3 linked regions of the Arabidopsis thaliana genome follow. The protein of the gene in region 1 purifies or fractionates together with the protein of each later gene. This does not show direct contact. Each region holds a gene or a part of one and is shown on either strand. Other genes may lie near its edges.

The links. Proteins that work in one complex are often made in the same cells at the same time.
Region 2: the proteins of AT3G02630 (region 1) and Hop1 fractionate together in Arabidopsis thaliana (co-fractionation; one large-scale study listed by BioGRID). This does not show direct contact.
Region 3: the proteins of AT3G02630 (region 1) and AT1G30580 fractionate together in Arabidopsis thaliana (co-fractionation; one large-scale study listed by BioGRID). This does not show direct contact.

What each region holds. Positions count from the first base shown.
Region 1 is NC_003074.8:559,072-566,476, forward strand, and holds AT3G02630 (Plant stearoyl-acyl-carrier-protein desaturase family protein), read left to right. Parts: upstream 1-2,958; 5' UTR 2,959-3,092; coding exon 3,093-3,214; intron 3,215-3,803; coding exon 3,804-4,308; intron 4,309-4,716; coding exon 4,717-5,157; intron 5,158-5,330; coding exon 5,331-5,453; 3' UTR 5,454-5,799; downstream 5,800-7,405. Other genes in the region: AT3G02620 (Plant stearoyl-acyl-carrier-protein desaturase family protein), read left to right, coding at 1,176-1,330, 1,509-1,998, 2,114-2,689; AT3G02640 (uncharacterized protein), read right to left, coding at 5,993-6,550; AT3G02645 (transmembrane protein, putative (DUF247)), read left to right, coding at 7,200-7,405. UniProt on the Arabidopsis thaliana protein: Converts stearoyl-ACP to oleoyl-ACP by introduction of a cis double bond between carbons 9 and 10 of the acyl chain.
Region 2 is NC_003070.9:4,169,251-4,176,481, forward strand, and holds Hop1 (stress-inducible protein), read left to right. Parts: upstream 1-2,784; 5' UTR 2,785-2,854; coding exon 2,855-3,733; intron 3,734-3,868; coding exon 3,869-4,157; intron 4,158-4,299; coding exon 4,300-4,385; intron 4,386-4,486; coding exon 4,487-4,710; intron 4,711-4,794; coding exon 4,795-4,861; intron 4,862-4,960; coding exon 4,961-5,020; intron 5,021-5,211; coding exon 5,212-5,325; 3' UTR 5,326-5,480; downstream 5,481-7,231. Other genes in the region: SUMM2 (LRR and NB-ARC domains-containing disease resistance protein), read right to left, coding at 5,625-7,231. UniProt on the Arabidopsis thaliana protein: Mediates the association of the molecular chaperones HSP70 and HSP90. Mediates nuclear encoded chloroplast preproteins binding to HSP90 prior to chloroplastic sorting.
Region 3 is NC_003070.9:10,829,922-10,838,596, forward strand, and holds AT1G30580 (GTP binding protein), read right to left. Parts: upstream 5,715-8,675; 5' UTR 5,534-5,714; coding exon 5,447-5,533; intron 5,114-5,446; coding exon 4,946-5,113; intron 4,843-4,945; coding exon 4,719-4,842; intron 4,392-4,718; coding exon 4,300-4,391; intron 4,139-4,299; coding exon 4,040-4,138; intron 3,941-4,039; coding exon 3,827-3,940; intron 3,509-3,826; coding exon 3,444-3,508; intron 3,285-3,443; coding exon 3,168-3,284; intron 3,061-3,167; coding exon 2,985-3,060; intron 2,791-2,984; coding exon 2,698-2,790; intron 2,378-2,697; coding exon 2,327-2,377; intron 2,131-2,326; coding exon 2,032-2,130; 3' UTR 1,752-2,031; downstream 1-1,751. Other genes in the region: HERK2 (hercules receptor kinase 2), read left to right, coding at 1-1,561; AT1G30590 (RNA polymerase I specific transcription initiation factor RRN3 protein), read right to left, coding at 6,055-6,319, 6,589-6,773, 6,886-6,999, 7,187-7,274, 7,368-7,451, 7,561-7,667, 7,784-7,852, 7,949-8,074 and 3 more. UniProt on the Arabidopsis thaliana protein: Hydrolyzes ATP, and can also hydrolyze GTP with lower efficiency. Has lower affinity for GTP. Exhibits GTPase activity.

The DNA of each region.
Region 1 (7,405 bases):
ATTTTAATTTTGTTTTATAAAAATTATTGTTTTTTATTTTCAATGCAGTTGTAAAGATCAAATATCTTTTTTTTATCTCTACTATTTAAACTAATTAATGAAAAAAAGAGAGTATTATTTAGTATATTAATAGCAGGTACAAATGAAATTTGTTTGCTTTCCTTAATTTGCGTGAAAATAATAGAATGACATTCTTTGTGAAACATATAAATATTGAAAGTTTTGTAAAATTTGATTTTCATAGCCATTTCCAACTTGATGGAAAAAGTACATTACTTTCTAAATTTATGTGAAAAATGGTAAAATGACACTCTTTGTAAAAACATATAGAATTTCGAAAGTTTTGTTACGTTTGATTTTCACAGCCATTTTTCAACTTGGTGAAAAAGACAAGACACGAGTAAGCCAACTTTCTCGATCAAGCCGATTTGTTTTTTACAAATGTCATTCTTTTTCAATAAAAAGCATTCAAGATTATTAAAGTAATATTCATTGGGCTACTTCCAGAATATGCTCATATAAAATCCATCAGAATCCAGTCCAATTACACCAATCTGATCAAAAATCCGATCAAAACCGAGGGACATAGAGACCAGAAAACCCGATTGAACCCGTCTTTCAAAGAAGCATCGATTGAAACTTTATTATATACCAGAAACGATCCGTTAAGAATATAGAAACCTAACCATACCATCAATGCGATGTTTTGTTTAGTGTAAAACCGAATAATTGTGTATCCATATGAATTATATATATATATATATATATAAAATTATAACAAATTTATGATCGACTGTATATAAAAATACAATATTTAAATGGCAATGCAAACGGCAAGGAATTATATTATTTGCGTAGACAATTTTATATAATTAAAATTGTAAGAAATTTATGATCGAATGTATATAAAAACAATATTTCAAGGGCAATGCAAACGGCAAGAAGTTATATTATTTGCGTAGAGATTTTCTGTCTTTGCGATAACATGTTTAATAGATCTTTAAGTCTATGACAACTCGTCATATTGATCATAGAAGAATAAATAATTACAACTGGCTAGGGGTAACATGTATAACACTCTATCTTTTGTCAACTCACTCACTATATACATATATACTCTTCTCTCCTCCTAACGCAGAGGCACAAGGGCAATAAGAAAAGAGAGAGATAGATAAATGACGATGATGGCTCTGCTCTTGAACTCGACGATGACTGTGGCTATGAAGCAGAATCCCGCGACCGCGGTATCTTTTATGCAGACTACTTGTTTGGGATCTAGTTTTTCTCCTCCTCGTCATCTTCAAGTTTCGTGTGTTGCCACTAACCCGAGGCGAGTTTTTTTCTTTTTAGATCTTCAATTCTTCGCGTTGATCTCAATGTATTGTTAATAACTTTTTCACTCATTGGGTTTTATATACTTGCATATTAACATATGTTCTATAAATTACAATAAGACACGAACCTGATCAAAATAACAGTGTTCTTAATTAACGATGAAAATGTTACAGCAAGACGTTTCGACCCATCAAAGAAGTATCAAACCAAGTGACACACACAATAACACAAGAGAAACTGGAGATCTTCAAATCAATGGAGAATTGGGCCCAAGAAAACTTATTATCTTACCTCAAACCCGTCGAAACTTCATGGCAACCACAAGACTTTTTGCCAGAAACCAAAGACGAAGACCGATTCTACGAACAAGTGAAAGAGCTAAGAGATCGAACAAAAGAGATCCCTGACGATTACTTTGTAGTTCTTGTCGGAGATATGATCACCGAAGAAGCATTACCGACTTATCAAACGGTTATGAACACTCTCGACGGAGCCAAAGACGAGACCGGTGTTAGTCTAACACCGTGGGCGGTTTGGCTTAGAGCATGGACGGCGGAGGAAAATCGACACGGTGATTTGTTGAATAAGTACCTTTACTTATCAGGTCGTGTTGATACGCGACATGTTGAAAAGACTATTCAATATCTTATCGGATCCGGCATGGTACGTTCTTTTTGGTATTGGCCAAATTGTTACACTCCCATAAATATAGGTGTGCTCAAAATGTAAATTATAATTTCTTTGGGACCATATTGACAAGTTTATAATTATTTTTCAGGACACCAAATATGAGAACAATCCCTACAACGGCTACATCTACACTTCTTTTCAAGAGAGAGCAACTTTTATCTCCCACGCCAACACGGCGAAGCTAGCCACGACATACGGCGACACAACTCTCGCCAAAATCTGTGGAACAATCGCGGCGGATGAGAAGCGGCACGAGATGGCGTATACGCGGATCGTCGAGAAGCTATTCGAGATTGATCCCGATGGTACCGTACAAGCTCTAGCGAGTATGATGAGGAAGCGAATCACGATGCCGGCTCAGCTGATGCACGACGGTCGCGATGACAATCTGTTCGATCATTACGCTGCTGTGGCGCAGAGAATCGGAGTGTATACCGCGACGGATTACGCAGGGATTTTGGAGTTTTTGTTGCGGCGGTGGGAGGTGGAGAAGTTAGGGATGGGTTTGTCCGGTGAAGGAAGGAGAGCACAGGATTATCTGTGTACCTTGCCGCAGAGGATCAGGAGGTTAGAGGAAAGAGCTGACGATAGAGTCAAACGTGCGTCAAAGTCTAAACCTTCTGTTTCGTTCAGCTGGATTTACGGGAGAGAAGTTGAACTCTAAACGACAATGGTTGTTGCGTTTCACTGTATTAGACTCTTAAACGTTATGGGCCTTACTAATGTAATATGGGAAGTAAATGTAATAAAGAAACGCTAAAAGATCTTGCGTTTTAGTGAAACACTGGGTTATAACTACCATATGGCCCATGGGCTTGAAAATTAAGCAAAGAAAATATCTGAGTGGCATAGACGTAATTAAAAGAGTAGCTGAGGGATATTGTAGAGAAGAAAAAAGTTGTATATTAATGTCCCCTTGGCTCGATCATCACGCCCAAAGTTTCTTCTTCACCTTGTCTCTTTTCACAGTCTCACACAGCATAGAAATAATCGAAAGATTTCTTTTTAAAATCTGGGATTTGTTTTTTTTGTTCATTGATCATTTTCGATTGTTAGAGAAGAATCAAATGGCGATGGCTATGGATCGGATCGTCTTCTCCCCTTCATCTTACGTCTATCGTCCTTGTCAAGCTAGGGGATCCAGATCTTCCAGAGTTTCCATGGCTTCTACGATTCGCTCTGCGACTACGTGAGTTTTAATCTCTCTATTTCCAATTCGTGAGCTTATTTTTCTTTAATGCTTTGAATTTGTTCTGATCTGGAGTTTGGTTTGAGTATCGATGATAAACCTCTGGGCTTTGGTTGATCCAGTTTCTTATTTTCATCAATTTGATTCCCAATGCACTCTCATTGTGTGTAGTTACGAGTTATATGATCACATGTATTAGTTTCTGGTTTGTGAAATGAGGAATTTGCTTCATTTGTGTTTAAAAAATCTTTCATTTTTACTGGTTTTCTGATTTATCTGGGAGATTTCTTTAGATCAAAGAATCTTGATTTTTTTTATTTTTTATTTATTTGAAAAGCTATCCTTACATGCAAAGGACAATCTTTGTCTCTATGTTAAATTTTGATAATCTCTTCAACTTTCCCAAACGCATGCATGAATTGTTTTGTGTTTATGACTTTCTTTTTACTTGGTTGTTGACCCATAAGACTACTATGCTAAATCATTACTTCGTTCATTTATTCTCTTGTTTGATTATTATGTTAAGAAAGCTTGTTGGTGTAGTAGCTGCTTAGACTTTTTCTAAAGCTTTATTTGGTTTTAATTACAGAGAGGTTACGAATGGAAGGAAACTGTATATCCCTCCCAGAGAGGTGCATGTCCAAGTCAAACATTCAATGCCGCCACAAAAGTTAGAGATCTTTAAGTCTTTAGAAGGATGGGCTGATGAAACCCTGTTGACTTATTTAAAACCTGTTGAGAAATCGTGGCAGCCTACCGATTTTCTTCCCGAACCTGAGTCGGAAGGATTCTATGACCAAGTCAAGGAGCTAAGGGAAAGGTGCAAGGAACTTCCTGATGACTATTTTGTGGTGCTTGTTGGGGATATGATCACTGAAGAAGCACTTCCTACTTACCAGACCATGTTGAACACATTGGATGGTGTTAGGGATGAGACAGGAGCTAGTCCTACTCCTTGGGCTATATGGACCAGGGCTTGGACTGCTGAGGAGAATAGACATGGGGATCTCCTTAACAAGTATCTTTATCTGTCTGGTCGGGTAGACATGAGGCAGATTGAAAAGACTATTCAGTACCTGATTGGTTCTGGAATGGTAAGCTCTGCTAACTTTCTTTTTTGCTTTAACCCATAATCTCCTAAAGTTGCATTTGCGCTTTAGGAAGTGACTGGGGATGGGGATACAATCGTTACATGCTTGTTTGAATTGATTGTTAAAATTCCATAGGTAGGGGAACAGAAGAGGAATAAGTTGGAACCATTTATCAGTTTTACTTTTTTGGAACTTATCTTGTCATTTCTTAGTATGGCTTATATTGACTTCACAATGACTATCTGCAAATCTTCATGTTAGCAACATACGCATTTTTTATGTTTCAAGTTCTGAAGATAGAATTGGAGTGCTGCTTAGCTGCCACATTAATCACTTTACGGATTTCCATTGTGTAAAGTTTGTATTCCTAATATTCAATGTAAGATTGATCGATTTGTCTTATGTCCTTAGGATCCAAAAACTGAAAACAACCCTTACTTGGGTTTCATCTACACATCATTTCAAGAAAGAGCGACCTTCATCTCCCATGGAAACACTGCCAGACTGGCGAAAGATCGTGGAGATTTGAAACTTGCGCAGATATGCGGGACCATTGCTGCTGATGAGAGGCGTCATGAGACTGCTTACACCAAGATTGTAGAGAAGCTCTTTGAAATTGACCCTGATGGCACGATCTTGGGCCTGGCTGATATGATGAAGAAAAAGATATCAATGCCTGCACATTTAATGTATGATGGCCAAGATGATAACCTGTTTGAGCACTTCTCAACCGTTGCCCAGAGGCTCGGTGTCTACACTGCCAAGGACTATGCTGATATTCTGGAGTTTCTTGTTGAACGGTGGAATGTGGAGACTTTGACAGACCTTTCTAGTGAAGGACACAGGGCCCAGGTAAATTACCTCCATGAAACTTCTTGTGATGAAACCTCCAAGTTTATGAATACTTATAACAATCTTGTAGTAGTTTTTGGTCATGAATACTATATTAGATATACTGTTTTGTGTTTTTGATGATCTGATCGGGACCTAAACTTGAATTCTGACTCTATCATTTCCTTTGACAGGACTTTGTCTGCGGACTACCTGCAAGAATCCGTAAAATTGAAGAGAGAGCTCAAGGAAGAGCCAAAGAAGCTGCCAAAAACATACCATTCAGCTGGATATTTGGTCGAAATATCAGGGCTTAAGAAGTTTACTACACAATTCTCTTTCCAATTATCCCAAGTAAGTCATAAAGGTCTTCACCAACCATTTCACCAATGAAGGACCAGTTTTTAAGACCACGAAAGTTCATTTGAATGTGTTTTGTTTTATACGGAACATTGTAGATAAAGTTATGTGGTTAGGTTATGTTTCTTGTTTGAATCAGTCAAGACCAAAGAAAATGTGTTTGAGTGTTCTTAGATATTGTATGGTTTACCAAGAACAAGACTTAAGATTTTCCTTTACCTTTTTGATTCTCTTTTTGTTGTATCAGTCTAAAGAATGTTCTCTCTTAAATAAAGAGTGGTTTGGCAATAATGTTCTAGAGAACTTGGGTACACATATTCCTTGAATATCATCAATTAAAATTTTCTTATGCAAGACATATAGAATCATCAACAAAGTAATCAACCAATTCAATTCTTCAATACATATAAACCAAACCCTGAAACACAGATCAAACTAACATTTGATACAACCTCTCTTCTCTTAAACAAAATCATTACAAGAAGTGAATTTTTCTTCAAACTTGGAACGCCCATGGGGAATTTTTGAGAGTCTCTTCACTCTGAACCTTACCAGTCCTTTTCATAGCAACTCCATTGTTATCACCATCGACATAAGCGTAGTACTTCAAGAAAAAGGCGAGAACAAGAACGATCCACTCAAGGCAAAAGATTACAACACAGAGCCCACCAGCTAGTTTCAAGATCATAGACGCTTCTTTCTCACGGACGTAAGAGTTAAGGCTCTCGAGGAAATTCGAAGTGTTGGTAAAGATGAGAACAGAGACTGAGCCTTGGAAAATGGCGGTAAGGACAGTTGCGATCATGTGAGCTGCGTACCACCGGTTCTTACCATAAGATGCGGCTGCACAGCCTGAGACGGCGGCTGCGATCGTGGTGGCGTGAAGGAGGATGAGGAAGAAACCGCAGAGTGAAGGGATTAGACGGAGAGAGAGAGTGAGGAAGATGCAGCTTGACGATGCACCGAGGAGGACGTAGTTTGCAGTGAGGAAGAGTTTATGTGTGTAGTAATGAGATTCTTGGATCGATTCTTGTGGTTGAGGAATTAAACCCATGACGATGTTGGAGGTTTCTGATTCGGGTTGCAGAAAATTTTGGATTTTGAGATTGCGAAGAAGAAAGGAAGATAGCTTGCGAATTGTGATTGGGTGAGTTATGAATTTGGGTTTATGTAGAGAGCGATTTAAACGGTCTGATTTTCCAAATATGACCGTTGAGGCTTTACAGAAGTGAAGGACAGATCACCGACAGAGTGAGTTGTTGTTGTGTGTGTAACGGCTAGTGTTTTTTGCTATTCCTTTGTTCCAGAACAAGACTGGCAAGCCCAATGGGCCAAGTTGGGTTCTTGTTTGTCCGAGACAAGGATATTTTTATCCTGAACACGGATATGTTATCCTTACGAAGCAAATATAAGTTTATGTCTTGTGTGTTTTCGTCTGCTTAAATTGAACCGACTCATTCCAACCGAACTAATTATTTGATGAACAAAAAAAACGAATTGTGAATCTTTAATTCGGTTCACACAGTTTATTCAAGATGAAACTTGAAGGCCGTTTCAATACCATTGAAACAGAGTAAAGTCTTGATGAAACCATAACTGCAAATAGGACAAAAACTGTTTCTTCTTCTCTTCTTTACTCTCAGATTGAAAGAAGAAGAATGATTCGATCCAAGATCTTGAGCTGCTTCTAAAATTTAAGAACCATGTTACCTAAAAAACCAATTTTTTCATCTACAGAGCAACACAGGTTTGACGAAACTCGATGGGTCATCAATGTCCAAAAATCTCTCGATGCAGAGCTCGAAGAACACGATCTCGAAGAAGTCACAGTCAGCATTTTCAATGTTCCTAAAGCATTAATGTGTAGCCATCCAGATTCATACACACCTCACCGAGTTTCGATCGGACC
Region 2 (7,231 bases), on another chromosome or scaffold:
TGTCAGTTTCTTGTCCCATGAGAAAAACTTGTTACATGTGAAAACACTTCCATGTGAAAGATTCTACCATCTTACTTATTGTTTGGTTTGATCTTACCACTAGTGATGATGTACAGCTAGCCAACGTACAGCCAGTGTTTCAAATCGGCTCGTTAGTTTTAGGGTTACATAGCGCCGAACTTTTTAGTTTTTTGAGAAAAATACTCAACTTCAGATGATTCAGTACCGATTCATATATGACCAATTTTCTTAGATTTGAGTCTGGTTAGACCAAATCCATTACACATTTACACCCCGTCGCTTTTTTTTGTTTTGTTGTTATAGATATGCCTGAAGTTGCTTTCTGAATGGCCACAAAACTGAAATGATCAGATCAAATATGAATGTTTATAAAACAAGATCAAAATCTGGATGGATCGATCCATAGAATCTCATGGCGTCATTTCCATGCCAATTGCCAAAACGAGCCCGGACTAAGTAACACCATTGTGACATTTATATTTATCAATAATGGTTATTTGTATTATGTGTTACTACTTACTACTAGTAAGTTACTAGATATCCAATCTCCGAAAATAAGTTCTATGTAGTTTTAAATGATGCATATATATATGCGAGACAAAAAATGTTGCATGTAAACAAAAAATGCTGATTATTGTGAAATATATTAATTATTTTTTTTATTTTTTTGTTATGAAGGTCATGTTAATTATTTTAAAGACTTTGTTTCAAATAAAATAAAAAATTAATTTTAAAAAATCATATATTTGGTATTACAAATTTTTTGAGGTAATAGTTGTAGTTGACTTTGTAAATAATTTACCAAAAAAAATTATGTTTGAAGTGTACTCTGCCCCAGTAAATAATATTTAGGGCCACCACTATCTATATTATTCAATAAATAAGCGCACATAAAATTCTAATAATTACTTTTTTCTTAAATCCATAATAATTAGTAAGCTAATTATCATTAATAATTATACGTAACAATAGTCTAAATGCATGGCTTTAATCACTATACCATGCACCAAACGACTAATTATTTCATGCGATATGAATCATTGAATACGAAAAATTACTGGAAGATTTCAAATCGACGAATACTAACTCAACAAACTCAACTAATAATGACCTTTAAACAGTTTGGATTATAAATTTATTACCCAATTCAAGAGATAAACAGTAAACCCAGTGACAAGTAGATATCTGAAATTTAAATTTTTTTGAACGGAATTGTTTTTTTAATTCATAGGAACAATTTTTTGGAACATCAATCAGCATATATATGGGTTTTTTTGGGGTCAAATTCAACAGCAAGCATGCATATGGTTTATAAACTTTATATATATGATTTTATTGTCAACCTTTTTTTTTTGGACAAACTGGTTTAATTGTCAACCTATAGATGATATTTCAAGAAAGACTGAATTCTATTTTGAGTTGACTGTATGAGTATGTATGAGTGTAAAAGTCAGCCATTTTGCAGAAACAAATATGCACATCGACGACGACCCTCATGATTTCATAGTTGGCCAGCTCAAGCCGTGTGTCAAATTATTACAAGTTACATTTATTATATTTTCGTTTATATATGCTTTAGAGAATGTAAGATGTAAATGGAAATGGGAGATATGATTGCATTTTGGTTTATATGTCTTCTTCGGAACAATAATACGAAATTATAGTAGTAATCATAAGATAAAGAAATTAATGAACAAAAATTTAAAAAGACTCATATTAAAATAAAGAGGGTAACAAAAGATAATGAAAATAACTCTCTAGATCTAAGCATGATGTGTCTATATACACCGACATTTTTTTCTTTTAATTAAGTGTATTGAAAATAAATTAAATAAGCCATGATTTTGATTTTGCAGTTTCGATTTTGATTTTGATTTTATTTAAAATGCTATATATGAGCCTGGTAACAGGAATGGTCGATGCAGTTTATTTCAATCTCAAGAGCTTACATGTGAAATACACAACTCAATAGCTTTCACTATTTCTTGAACGAAATTGACGAACAAGTAACAAAAAGAAAAATCGAACCGGAGAAGAAATCGTTGGTCTACCAATAACCGGAGTCTCCACGACAGTACAAAACCGACACCGTTTCTTAGTAATTTTATTCTTAAGATACAATATAATTTTATACTCGTATCCAAACAGTCCACACACAACCCCAAAACAAAAGTAAGAAAACTTGTAGACAAAAGTAAACAAAAGTAAACAAAAGTACGATAACAAAACTCTATACTCGTAGACAAACTTCACCGAACGTATTTAGCTAAAGAAAACTTGACCTCAAGATTTTCTTGTCTTCTTTAATCCAGGTGCTTGTAACTATGATTCCATATTACTAAAAACATGCATGTCTCCTTAGCAAAGAAAATCACAAGTAAGAAATGTATCATAATGATGAAAAATGCTATGAGACTGGTAACAAGAAATGGGTGATGAAAACAAATTCAATCTCAAGCAACAGTTCTCACTTAGAAGTGAGATCAGTTCAGGAGCTTTCACTATTTCTTAAATGAACTGAAGAACAAGTGAATACAAAAACAAAATCGAACCGGAGAAATGAAACTCTAAACAATGGAACCGGTGAATAAATCGTGGGTCTGCTGATAACCGGGATTTCCACGACAACACAAAACGACATCGTTTTATAAGATTCTTTATTATTAAACGTAACGAGGATAATTATAAACCCGGACAAATATCCACTAACAAATTCTATCCTCATATCCAAACAGTCCCTCAATTTCTCAAAACCCCAAACAAGTGTTCTTTTCTTATAGAGAGTAGTCTCCCAAGAAGCTGCAGAGACTTGCAAAAATCTCAGATTCAAACAATGGCAGAAGAAGCTAAAGCTAAAGGAAACGCTGCTTTCTCTTCCGGTGACTTCACCACGGCTATAAACCACTTCACCGAAGCCATAGCTCTTGCTCCAACCAATCACGTCCTCTTCTCAAACCGTTCCGCTGCTCACGCGTCGCTTCATCAATACGCCGAAGCTCTCTCCGATGCGAAAGAGACGATTAAACTCAAACCGTATTGGCCTAAAGGTTATAGCCGTCTCGGTGCTGCTCATTTAGGGTTAAACCAGTTTGAGTTAGCCGTCACTGCTTATAAGAAAGGTTTAGATGTCGATCCGACTAACGAGGCGTTGAAATCTGGATTGGCTGATGCGGAGGCGTCTGTTGCTAGGTCACGAGCTGCACCGAATCCGTTTGGTGATGCTTTTCAAGGACCGGAGATGTGGACGAAGCTTACGTCTGATCCTTCGACTAGAGGCTTTTTGCAGCAGCCGGATTTTGTTAACATGATGCAGGAGATTCAGAAGAATCCTAGCAGTCTTAATTTGTATTTGAAGGATCAGAGAGTGATGCAATCTCTTGGAGTTTTATTGAATGTTAAGTTTAGGCCACCGCCGCCTCAGGGAGATGAGGCTGAGGTTCCTGAGTCTGATATGGGTCAGAGTTCTAGTAATGAGCCTGAGGTTGAGAAGAAGAGAGAACCGGAGCCTGAACCGGAACCGGAGGTGACAGAGGAGAAGGAGAAGAAAGAGAGGAAGGAGAAAGCTAAAAAGGAGAAAGAGCTTGGGAATGCTGCGTATAAAAAGAAGGACTTTGAAACTGCTATTCAGCATTATTCTACTGCTATTGAGATTGATGATGAAGACATCTCGTACCTCACAAATCGTGCTGCTGTTTATCTTGAGATGGGAAAGGTATGATTTTCATATGTGTAATGCTCTTTTGTTTTGTCCCTTTATTTGCTGATAGGCTAGAAGCCTAGAATGATGATTTGCTTGTTATGTGCTACAATGGTGATTAGTTTTTAATGTCATTGTGTTTTGATTCAGTACAATGAGTGCATTGAGGATTGTAACAAGGCTGTGGAAAGGGGTAGAGAGCTTAGGTCAGATTACAAGATGGTAGCTAGAGCTTTGACTAGAAAAGGGACTGCTTTGACTAAGATGGCCAAATGCTCGAAAGACTATGAACCTGCCATTGAAGCTTTCCAGAAGGCTCTTACAGAGCACCGTAACCCTGATACGTTGAAGAGACTTAACGATGCGGAAAGAGCAAAGAAAGAGTGGGAACAGAAGCAATATTTCGATCCTAAGCTAGGGGATGAAGAGCGTGAAAAAGGTGATTGCTTTAGCAATTAGTCTCTTTTTTTTTTTTTGTGTGTGTGTGTGTGTGTGTGTGTGGGAAAAGAAAGCTTATAGAACCCTGAAAACAAGAATGAATTAGCGTTTTTACTGCTGCTGTTGTGGTGTATTTAATACAGGTAACGATTTCTTCAAGGAGCAGAAGTATCCTGAGGCCATAAAACATTACACCGAAGCAATCAAAAGGAACCCAAATGACCATAAAGTAAGGGCACTTCATCATATTTATATGTTCTTAAGGTCTTCTACAATGATTTTCTATTCCGACTGTTTGAGCAACTCGTACTTTTTTTGCACCTATGTTAGGCATATAGCAACCGAGCTGCTAGTTACACTAAGCTAGGTGCAATGCCTGAAGGACTAAAGGATGCAGAAAAGTGTATTGAGCTCGATCCAACCTTCTCTAAAGGATACAGCAGAAAAGCTGCAGTCCAATTCTTCCTCAAAGAGTACGACAATGCGATGGAAACATACCAAGCGGGTCTCGAGCATGATCCTAGTAATCAGGAACTTCTTGACGGTGTTAAAAGGTATATACACAGATACACAGAGATTATTAACTTTTCTATCTATTGCCATGAATTTGTTTAATGTGGTTCAAATCTATTCTGCAGATGTGTACAACAAATCAACAAGGCTAATCGCGGAGACCTTACTCCTGAGGAATTGAAAGAGAGACAGGTTAGTTACATTCTGATGATTCTCATGTTTTCTCCCCCCATTTGTGATTGAAAGAAAACCCGGGAAGCTAACTTGGATTTCTCCTTTTCTTTTGTGTAGGCAAAGGGAATGCAAGACCCAGAAATCCAGAACATCCTCACAGATCCTGTAATGAGACAGGTAAATAAACAAACTCTGTCGTAAATTGTGATTGTATGAGTATGATGCAATTTTTGTTTGAATCGAGTTTCTTATTACCAATGTTACTCTGTTGTGAGATGTCTAGATAGATCTAACTATGTTTTTACGTGTTGGTTCGAGTTTGCATGTGATAATACCTCTTAACATTCTAAAACCTTTCTTCCAAACAGGTACTGTCTGATCTTCAAGAGAATCCAAGCGCAGCACAGAAGCACATGCAAAATCCAATGGTTATGAACAAGATTCAAAAGCTTATTAGCGCTGGGATCGTCCAGATGAAATAAACTCAGAAGAGTTGAAACATCGAATATCCGTTTTGGCAGATTCATTTTTTCTCTTATATCTTTGCAATCTGCAACAATTCTAGATTTGTGACCGGCTGATTTCCCATGTTTACTGACGTTGTGTTCCGAACAAATTGCAATCATATTTTCTTCTGATATAACATTTACTGCGATCCTTAAAGTTATGTTGCTTTACATCTCTATACCATTTGGAGCATAAGAGAGCAAATGGCTAAATACACAACGACTTTGTCATTCACAAAATTTGAATCATTTCATTGCTTCAGCTCTACAAATTGCTACCGCACATAACTAACTTGCCATTCAGGTCCAAAGAACTTGAAAAAAGGTAAGAAACGGAGTCTTGTGGCTTCGTTGTCCCATTCAACCCTTTCAAGCCATTCTTCCTCTTGGTACTTAATGACAAGTTCTTCATCCCTTATGGCAATTTCAGAATCCAATGGAAGCTTTCTCAGCTCAGGACACTTCGTTATGTGAATTGTCTTCAGACATGGAAAAGACAGAGGTTGCCAGTAGATGCTCCTCAACATCGCTAGATTGTGTAGGCGTAGACTCTCTAGTTTCTGGAAAGGAATGATACCACTCATAGTCATAGCTTTCTCTTGGTTTATTATTCCTTCTACTAGTTCCGAGTCCAGAACCTCGAGACTAGTGAGGTTAGGAGCGAACAACAACCACGTCAAATCCTTCAGACCATCACAGCTACTTATATGCACAGTGGAGAGGTTATGGAGGAATTGAGTTTTGGGACTTCTGTTCGATGATAATGATAAAGTTTTCCTCTCTATCTTTATCTCACACATTCCACACTTCCTTATGATGACTTTATTGAGATTATCCATATCTGGCAAAGTCAATACTCCGGATGATTCTTCCTGAACTCCTCTAAGTACTAAGATTTGAAGACATTTCACCAACCTGGGAGCATTTAACAACTTCTCCACTACCAAGCTTGACTTGATACTTATGTTTAGAACTTCTAAATGTTCTAATAGCTGCAACTCCTCCACTAAGCTCATGTCTAGCGACATTTTAGACTGTAAAAGTTGCAATTTCCTCAAACTTGATATATTTGATATCCCTGAAATACTCTTAAGTCTCTTCATGTAATCCAATCTCAAATATCTGAGCTTTTTCAACTCTTGTAGACCGACAGGTAGCCGCTTAATGTATGTCCACGACAAGTCAAGATAACGCAAGGAGACTAACTTTGATATTTGGTTAGGCAATTTCCGGAGACTTGAATTCCCTGATAGATCCAAAACAACTAGCATTGGGATACACCGGAAGAATTCATCCGAGATATGTAGCAATGAATCATTTTTCTGAAGGAACAGAGTTGTAAGTTCCAGGCATTCGGGACTGCCAGATAAAATTTCAATCTCATTTTCCATCAGCGACATCCTTCTCACAGAACTCCAGTTCTTGACTTTCGGTACCTCACGTAATCCAACACCGACTTGCACAATACATCTTTCTTTATGTTCCCCAAGATCAGATGCAATCCATAGAGCCATCTCCCGAACCACATCATGCATTTTAACTTGTTCTTTATTGATAGCTTCCTCCAACAACAAACATGCTCGGACAAGGATACCAATGATCTCATAACCTTGGCTTAATGCTCTTTCTCTACTTTCATTTTCATCTATGAATCCCTCACATATCCAATAGTCTATCAACCTCTCTTTTTCCATACGATAATCTTCAGGAAACAGAGAGCAATATAGGAAACATGGTTTCACCTGCTCCTTGTTTAAATTATCATAGCTATACTTTAGAATAGGAAGAATTTGTTCCATACCAGGGAATTCTGCAGCATATGAGCTCAAAACGTCAATTGCGTTACGCCATTCTTGTACCATCCTTTTGCATGCCATGGTCT
Region 3 (8,675 bases), on another chromosome or scaffold:
TAAGCAAAACCAGAGGATTTTCAGGATATACATAAACAACCAGACGGCTGCTGGTAATTTCGATATATTTGCTCACGCGGGCGGGAAGAACAAAGGTATATATCAAGATTACTTGGATCCGGTCTCCTCTAAGAACGACGTTCTCTGGATTCAACTTGGACCTGACTCATCTGTTGGTGCTTCTGGAGACGCTCTTCTGAGTGGTCTTGAGATTTTCAAGCTCAGCAAAAATGGGAATCTTGCTCATCTCATCAGGTTTGATTCGACTGGTCACTCGGTAAGTGACTCGAAGATGCGGATTATTTGGATCAGTGTTGGTGCTGGTATAGCAATTATCATTTTTTTCGTGTTCTTGGGAATCTTGGTAGTATGTTTATGCAAGAAAAGGCGAAGCAAATCAGATGAGTCGAAAAACAATCCTCCCGGGTGGCGTCCGTTGTTTTTGCATGTCAATAACAGTACTGCAAACGCCAAAGCAACGGGAGGCTCGCTGAGACTGAACACTCTTGCAGCATCTACAATGGGAAGGAAGTTTACACTAGCCGAGATTCGTGCAGCAACTAAGAACTTTGATGATGGTTTAGCTATTGGAGTTGGAGGGTTTGGTAAGGTTTACAGAGGAGAGCTTGAAGATGGAACACTCATAGCTATAAAACGAGCCACCCCACATTCTCAGCAAGGGCTTGCTGAATTCGAAACCGAGATCGTGATGCTCTCAAGACTTAGGCATAGGCATCTTGTGTCTTTGATCGGGTTCTGCGATGAGCACAATGAGATGATCTTGGTTTATGAATACATGGCAAATGGAACTCTCAGGAGTCATCTCTTTGGAAGCAACCTTCCGCCATTATCATGGAAGCAACGGCTTGAAGCTTGTATAGGCTCTGCGAGAGGATTGCATTACCTTCACACAGGGTCAGAGAGAGGAATCATTCACAGAGATGTCAAAACAACAAACATACTATTAGACGAGAACTTTGTGGCAAAGATGTCTGATTTTGGGCTGTCGAAAGCTGGACCGTCCATGGACCATACTCATGTGAGTACAGCTGTGAAAGGAAGTTTTGGTTATCTTGATCCTGAATACTTTAGAAGGCAACAGTTAACAGAGAAGTCAGATGTTTACTCTTTTGGTGTTGTGTTGTTCGAAGCTGTTTGTGCTCGAGCTGTTATAAACCCAACTTTGCCTAAAGACCAGATCAACCTTGCGGAATGGGCTTTAAGCTGGCAAAAACAGAGAAACCTCGAGTCCATCATCGACTCAAATCTGAGGGGAAACTACAGTCCTGAATCGTTGGAGAAGTATGGGGAGATAGCAGAGAAGTGCTTAGCGGATGAAGGGAAGAACAGGCCAATGATGGGAGAAGTGTTATGGAGCTTGGAGTATGTTTTGCAGATTCATGAAGCTTGGCTTCGCAAACAGAATGGAGAAAACTCGTTTTCGAGCAGCCAAGCGGTAGAAGAAGCACCAGAGAGCTTTACTCTTCCAGCTTGTTCCAATCAAGATTCCTCAGAAACTGAGCAGAGCCAAACAGGATCTGCTCTTCACAATTCGGCTTAGAGGAAGCAATTGGATTGGCCAGTCCCAAAATAATTCTTTTGTTCTTTTGTTATAATTGATTGTGATCTATCCAGAAGCTCTTTTGTAATAGAGCTTGTAATATACACTGCAAATATAATTTCCTTAAGGTATTCGTTTAATCATTCTTTCCATTTGTTTCCTTCGCTAATAAGTGCACCAGAAGTTGTTTGCTGGGTTTCTTCAACTCATTCTCACGCACAATTACTCAAGGTTCTTTCCAAATAGTAGAGAAAAACTTATTGAAAGAGTTCTAAACGATACAGCAGGCTTAATGCTCTGTCTAAAGGCAAAGACATGTCTTAGCTAACTGCAAAATGTAAAGAGTTACAAATACTTGTTTGGTAAAGCCACTCAAAAACGGAAAATACAGCTTGGTTCCTTTCTCGGAAATGGATAGAGCTTCAAGATCCAGAGAGGACACCGCGGATAGGTGGACAGACGGATGGATCTCATTTCTTCCCACCACCGGAAACATTGAACTTGAAGAAAATGATATCTCCATCCTGAACAACATATGTTTTACCCTCCTGTCTGTATTTTCCTGCGGCCTGCATTAGTTGAAGGGATTATAAATTAGACCAAGTGTCATCGCCATGAACATTATAAATATAATCATGCCTCTTCAACGAGGATATCTTGCACAGTGGAGAGCTTCCTTAACATTTTCATGTCTGTTTTTAGAGGCTACTTACTCCACCGAGACCTTAAGAGATTGTAGAAGGAAAAGAAGTTATAGACAAATACCTTGACTGCAGGTTCATTGCCAAGTTCCTTGAGATCCTCGAATTTCATGACCTGTGACATCAACAACAACATTGGAATAAATCACATTGAATTTCAAAACAGAAAAATATTTGATTAGATATGGTTTGCATTAGGATTCTGCTTTGATATCTACAGGCCTGCATCGATACTAGGAAATCAACACCAAGATGAATATAAGAATATGCAAGCAAGCATTTGTTTTTGTCAGTGAAAACATAAGAAAGATTATATAAACTCTATAACAGAACAAATCATCAAAATCTGGAGGGGAAAGGCTTTACGCATGTAAATTTTAGGTAGGAATAAACTAGTGAATTGACCAAGATTCAAGAGAAATGAGAAAATGGTACCTCAGCACAAATAAATCCTCTCTCAAAATCAGTATGAATGGCCCCTGCAGCTTGAGGAGCCTTTGACTGCCGTCTTATTTGCCAGCACTTCACCTGCAAATCAAAGTATCATTGATGGATGTATTTTATAAACCATCAAATTCCAGTAACAATGCACTACTTGACACATAACACTGATCATGCACTACCAAATAGCTCATTACAGAACAATTATGCTTAGAAGAATTTCACAGAGAACTAGAGACTAAAGCGTGTAGTGAAGCCAAGTAAAGTGGGACTGTTAATACCTCATCAGGCCCTGCTGTAAAGAAGTATATGAGGTTAATTGCTGAAAATCCAGTTTTGATGATCCTCGGAAGAGCACTGTCAAAGCAGCAATGGCCATAAGATTCAATTTAACAGATTCATAAAGAAAAATCATCTTCAGGAGCAACTATTCATTCGCAAGGTGCTGTTCTTTTATTCCTAACCTTTGCAGTTTGTTCTCCTCACAATACTTTGCTGCTTCATCTGGGGCCATATCAGCGAGACTCCTTTCAAACACACCACTGAAAGGAATCATAGTATCACCACCGTGTTCTTGAACCCTACATAATGATGAAACAGATATTTTTAGTTTAGGAGAAGTATAATAAGGTAAGTAAATGTGTAAGCACGTAGCCATATTAGAAACTTTTGCAACAACCAAGGGGCAAAATGTTTTACTTATTATTCAACATAGTTTGTGAAAGGATATATATTAGTACCAGGCATGAATCTTTGGCAAGAACTTGTTTTTCTTCCTCTGATAGTCTCTCTCATTCAGGTTAATCTGTAATTTAAATTTCAGAGTAACCAGTGATCACAAAAAGTCCAACCAAGATGCCTTAATAGTTCTTACACTGAGATGAAACACATAGTTGAAACAAACATGAAAGCATAGAGATCAGAAATAGCTAAGGAACACACTATGGTTAAATTTGGGGGCAAATAGTGTCACAAAAATAGACAGTATGACCTACATTTTGCAAACTGACCCGAAAAAAATTGAGGGAACAAAATTGTCGACTATAGATATGAAAGAAGCAAATGCATTTATCTTGATAGAAACAATGGTAACAGAAAGAGATGAACATTCAAGACTACTCACCAAGTAAACAACGGGCTTTGCAGAAAGCAATTGGAAAGTGTTCAAAATCTCGATATCAGCTGTTTTCCAGTCCCCAAAACGGACATCCTTACCATCTTCTAGCCAAGCTTTTACCTAAACCAGAGAGGTACAGTCATTTTTTCGGCCAATTAATAATTAATGAGCAATAACATTTGCAGAACAAGACTGCATGGTTGTCAAATTATAGCATACCTTTTGCAAGAGCTCAAGTTCTATTTTCAGCTGCTTGTCATTGCTCCTCTTCATGCTCTTCTCGACATCATCAATCTTCTTTCCAACAAATTCAATATCCTAAAGTTGCACCAAAGAATTCAGTTTGAAACCAAAACAACAATGGATGAAATGAAGATCCAACTAATACAAAAAACAGACTACTGTATTAATATACACAGAAAGGATTTCACGAGTTTGGAGATATAGCAGTCAAATATCTGTTTAGAGATTTGATTCACCTTTAGCCGCAACTCTTCAGTAATGGTCTCCAAATCTCTAACAGGATCCACGATATCGTCGACATGGATAATATCAGCATCTTCAAAAGCACCTGCATATGTTCAATCGAAAAGTCACTAACCACTATATAACTGGCAAGATATCTTACTATCAGCAACTATTAAAGAAACATCCCCGTTGTTCAAGAACAGATATGCTTGGAGAGGAAAACATAAACTAACTATCGCAATGGCCCTATAGGTATCAAATGGGAAGAAAAATATATAAAGGTTTTTAACCTGTCTCTCATTGAAAAGCCTGCTCAAGTAGAAATTCAAGACAGCACAAGTAGCAGTACAGTCTAAATTATTCATCAAATCACGCATCACACTAAAACAAAGCTGGCACTAGGAGAAAAAGCGAGAGGGAAAAACCATACGTAAAACATGGAAAATTCCATCAACTGCACGAATATGGGACAAGAAGTTGTTTCCAAGACCCTGTCCTTCATGAGCTCCTCTAACAAGCCCAGCAATGTCATGAATTTCCAAGAAAGCTGGAATCTGAGGCATCAAAACAGACAGAAGTCAGCCCATTCATAAAGTAATTCAGATAGTAGTAATCTCTTCCTTAACAGCAAGTCATGAAATAAAGTTACAAACTTACCTCACTCTTAGGCTTGTAAGTTTGGCAAAGCCAATCGAACCTCTCATCGGGGATATTCACACGTGCCTCATTAGGCTCAATGGTACAAAAGGGGAAATTCTCAGCTGGAATTGAAAGCTTTGTAAGAGTGTTGAAAAGAGTAGATTTTCCAACATTTGGTAACCCAACCTGCGATGCCACAAACAATTCCCATAGTGAATAACATCAATACTTCTCCATATCATCATATCAACCATGAACAATCAACCTTAATCACTGTATCAAAGAAGCAGTTTCTTAAATATGGATTAAACATCTAAAAGAGTACAGTGACAAACACAACGAAACAAACAATATCATCATGCATCACTGATGAGTTAATAGATCTCTCCCGGCAAAACTCAGAAGAAGAAAAAAAAAAAAAACTTTTATCGAGGAAAGTATTGCGATGAGCAAATCTACCATTCACCATTCGAAATTAATCAACTTGGATTCTAAAAGAGAGATGAAGAGAAAAATTACAATTCCGATCTTGAGGTGAGAAGAGAAACGGCCAAGAATAGGCCTCTCTACGGGACCTGCATCTTTAGCTTTGGCTTTCGGAGGCATCTTTCTCAAAGTCTCGAGCTTGAAAGTGAAGCGAAGCTCTAAGATATTCTAGGGTTTTTGCTGATTAACAAAGCCTAGCAGAAGAAGCTACAAGACGCCGACGCCGAGGTTAAAGAGAGATTGCTCAGCTGGTTTACGGACCGGTTTAAATCGGAGGGTCAATTCCCGGTTTACTTTTAACCATTTGCGGGACATTTACCAAAATACAAAGAGCTATTTTTAACCAATTTTGTGGACAAAGTAAACCCAATATTGAACACTAAACCGAGAAATCAATCATTCAGCATTTCAACTTAACCAAATTAAACCGAAACTCAAATTAGGTAATCATAAACCAACTGACTAAATTTTACTTCATAGATGTTCTTCAAAATTTTGCTACAAAACCACATGCGATCAGATAATACCACAGACTCGCACAAAACTCATGTCAACTTCTTTTTTTTAGAGTTTACGCACTAGCTAAGAGATTGTAATAAGAAACCTACATTGCAAAATTGCATTCCCTCTCTCTATGACTATTAGATTAAGAAGGATTCAGGAGGACTAGTGGATGGTCTGATTCTTGAAGGCATCTTCAAGAGCCTCTCTGTTTCTCGCATGAAAGAGTGTTTCGGAGTTGTAGACATCGTGTTCATCTCACTATCAAGTTCAACGTCATCGTCAGGTTCCTCCGCACTGTCTGCATCTCCATTCACTATGACCTCATCACAAAGCTCTTCGTCACCATCTTCTCCATAAGTCGTTTTCACCATTGACCAGAAGTTGAAGTTCGGGGAGATGTAGCTTCAAGAATTGACAAGAAAACACGTGTGAGAAAGAGAGTTCAAGCCTATCCAATGCAAATACTTTGATTCATCACTTGTTTTATCATATTAAAATAATTTTCAATGTCATTTCAAGACTGTAATTAAGATGTATGCAGTAGAATTTGTATCAAATATGCCCAGGTCGGGTAAATTCATCCAGTGAGTCAAGAACCTTGTGTAAGATTCTCACATTGATTTGTCCTTACTTTGGAAGAGAAAAAATAATCAAGAGTAAAGATAGCAAACCTGCTAGACATTTTCAACAAGCACGGGTCAAACGGGAAGAATGTGTCAAGCCTTTCAAAGCCACCAAAAGCACGAGAGAGCTCAGACTCGTGTAGGTCATCGAAAATGAAGGATTCTGAGACAATGAACAGACCACCAGCTTTGGCTTGTTTAAGGAACTCGGAAACTACAGATGGAAGACACACCTGTTCACACAAAATGAATGGTGCAAGCATAATGCATTTGATACTTGGAGTGAAGACTACTTAAAATAACAGTTGAGCTATGAGAAGAAAATGATTAGTGTAAGTCACCCACCAGTAGTGGGTTTAGTTTGTGAGATAAAATTGACTCCAATGATCTAAACTGCGATTGAAAGCGAGGAATCTCCACTATGGATCTCATTCGGAAGCATAGCACATACAAGATTGCCTACAGTCATAGAAAAGTAACAACTTTAAGCGATACATGACATAATAGCATATGATCCCAAACGCCAATAAGCTTCTGGTAAGGGTGTGAACATTAACAATGATTGATAACTAGAGACGTCAATGATTTCACAGAAGAGTTCTTAAGGAATCAAAAGCCATAAGATGGTCTTAAACTTGGACTATACCTGACATCCAGAATAGAACACTTGATGTGCTTCTGGCTTCACATCATCATTGCATGTTCCGCAATATTCCGCACACTCGTCCACCAATCTAGGATTTCAGCAAAAGAGAAACTATGTTACAACAAAGCGAGACTTAAATCAGATCAAACAATTACATTTTCCATTTTTTAGCAATACGTACCTTTTCAACATGCTAGCCACAAAAGAAGCAGGCAAAAACTTTCCACGAGACAAATAGCTAGCTAGATAAGCCACTGCACTCATCCTGTTAAGTATAAAGAGAAAACAAAAGAATACACAAGTGGTGATTAGAACAATATTAGCTTCATATCATGCAGAGAAATCTTTACCAAGAAGGACAAGATTAAACTCGCCTAGTAAGTCGACATGTGTTGCTGGAGAGATATATGTCCAACAGCTTACTGGCAAATCTCACACCACAATTTTCAGGATCTAGTGAGCATGCATAGAACATCAGAAACTGCAGATGAAAGTAGAGTGAGTCTAAGCCAAGACATCACATGCCGATAATGAACTAATGCTAGAAGCCTACAATGAAAACTTTGTAGTATGTAAGGTGATAGCTTTGATGCCTACCTGTGAAAATTTTGTTTTGTATGTGTTCAGAATATAGTTCTCGAACGACTTAAAGAGGATTTCAAATACCTATGCCAAAATGAAAAACAGAAACACCAAAAGATCAATGAATCTACCACAAAGGAAAGGAAAAATATGTTGAACAAGTACCATTTGGTGCCATACCTCATCCAAACGATCAGAGTTTTGACAGGATTCTAGATGATGAAAAAATAGGACCATCAATTTGTCCAACAGTTCAGAGACTACATTTCCACCTGAAGTATTTTGTTTTAGAGCCCCCACTGGAAACTGCAAAAAGAGATCAAATTTATGAATGATGACACATTCTTCTCCAGGAAACCAGAGGTCATGTCTAACATTTCACAACAAGAGAAAATGGTATCTTGTCATCAAGTAACTTTCGATCATTACTAAACAGAGTAAGTTTCGGGATTTTGCAAAGATAGCAAAAAATTACACTAACCCTACCTCGTCTCCTTCATTCATAGTGCTTTCAACTGCATCTTCAAGTTCCATATCAAACATGCCTCCATTAGAGTCATCACATCCACTTACCAACTACAAAGATGCTCAAGCATATCATTCACTTGCCACTTTACTTAGTGGCTACATTTTTATAAAAAATTAACATCTACTTACATCTAAATCTAGCATCCTCTCCATTACCATCATAAGAATCACGCTGCCAACAACTTCTCCGATTGAGCTATTCTCCAACCTCAACAGGTTATCCACATATGTCACTATAGACTTCAAGACAAAAAGATAGTTTCAATTCTTTACCACCAATATGACCTCACTGTTACATAGTCTAAACTATAACCAAAAAAAAAAAAACTTACAGGGTCCTTTTTGTCAATTTTACGCATGTTCTGCGCAAGTATAGACA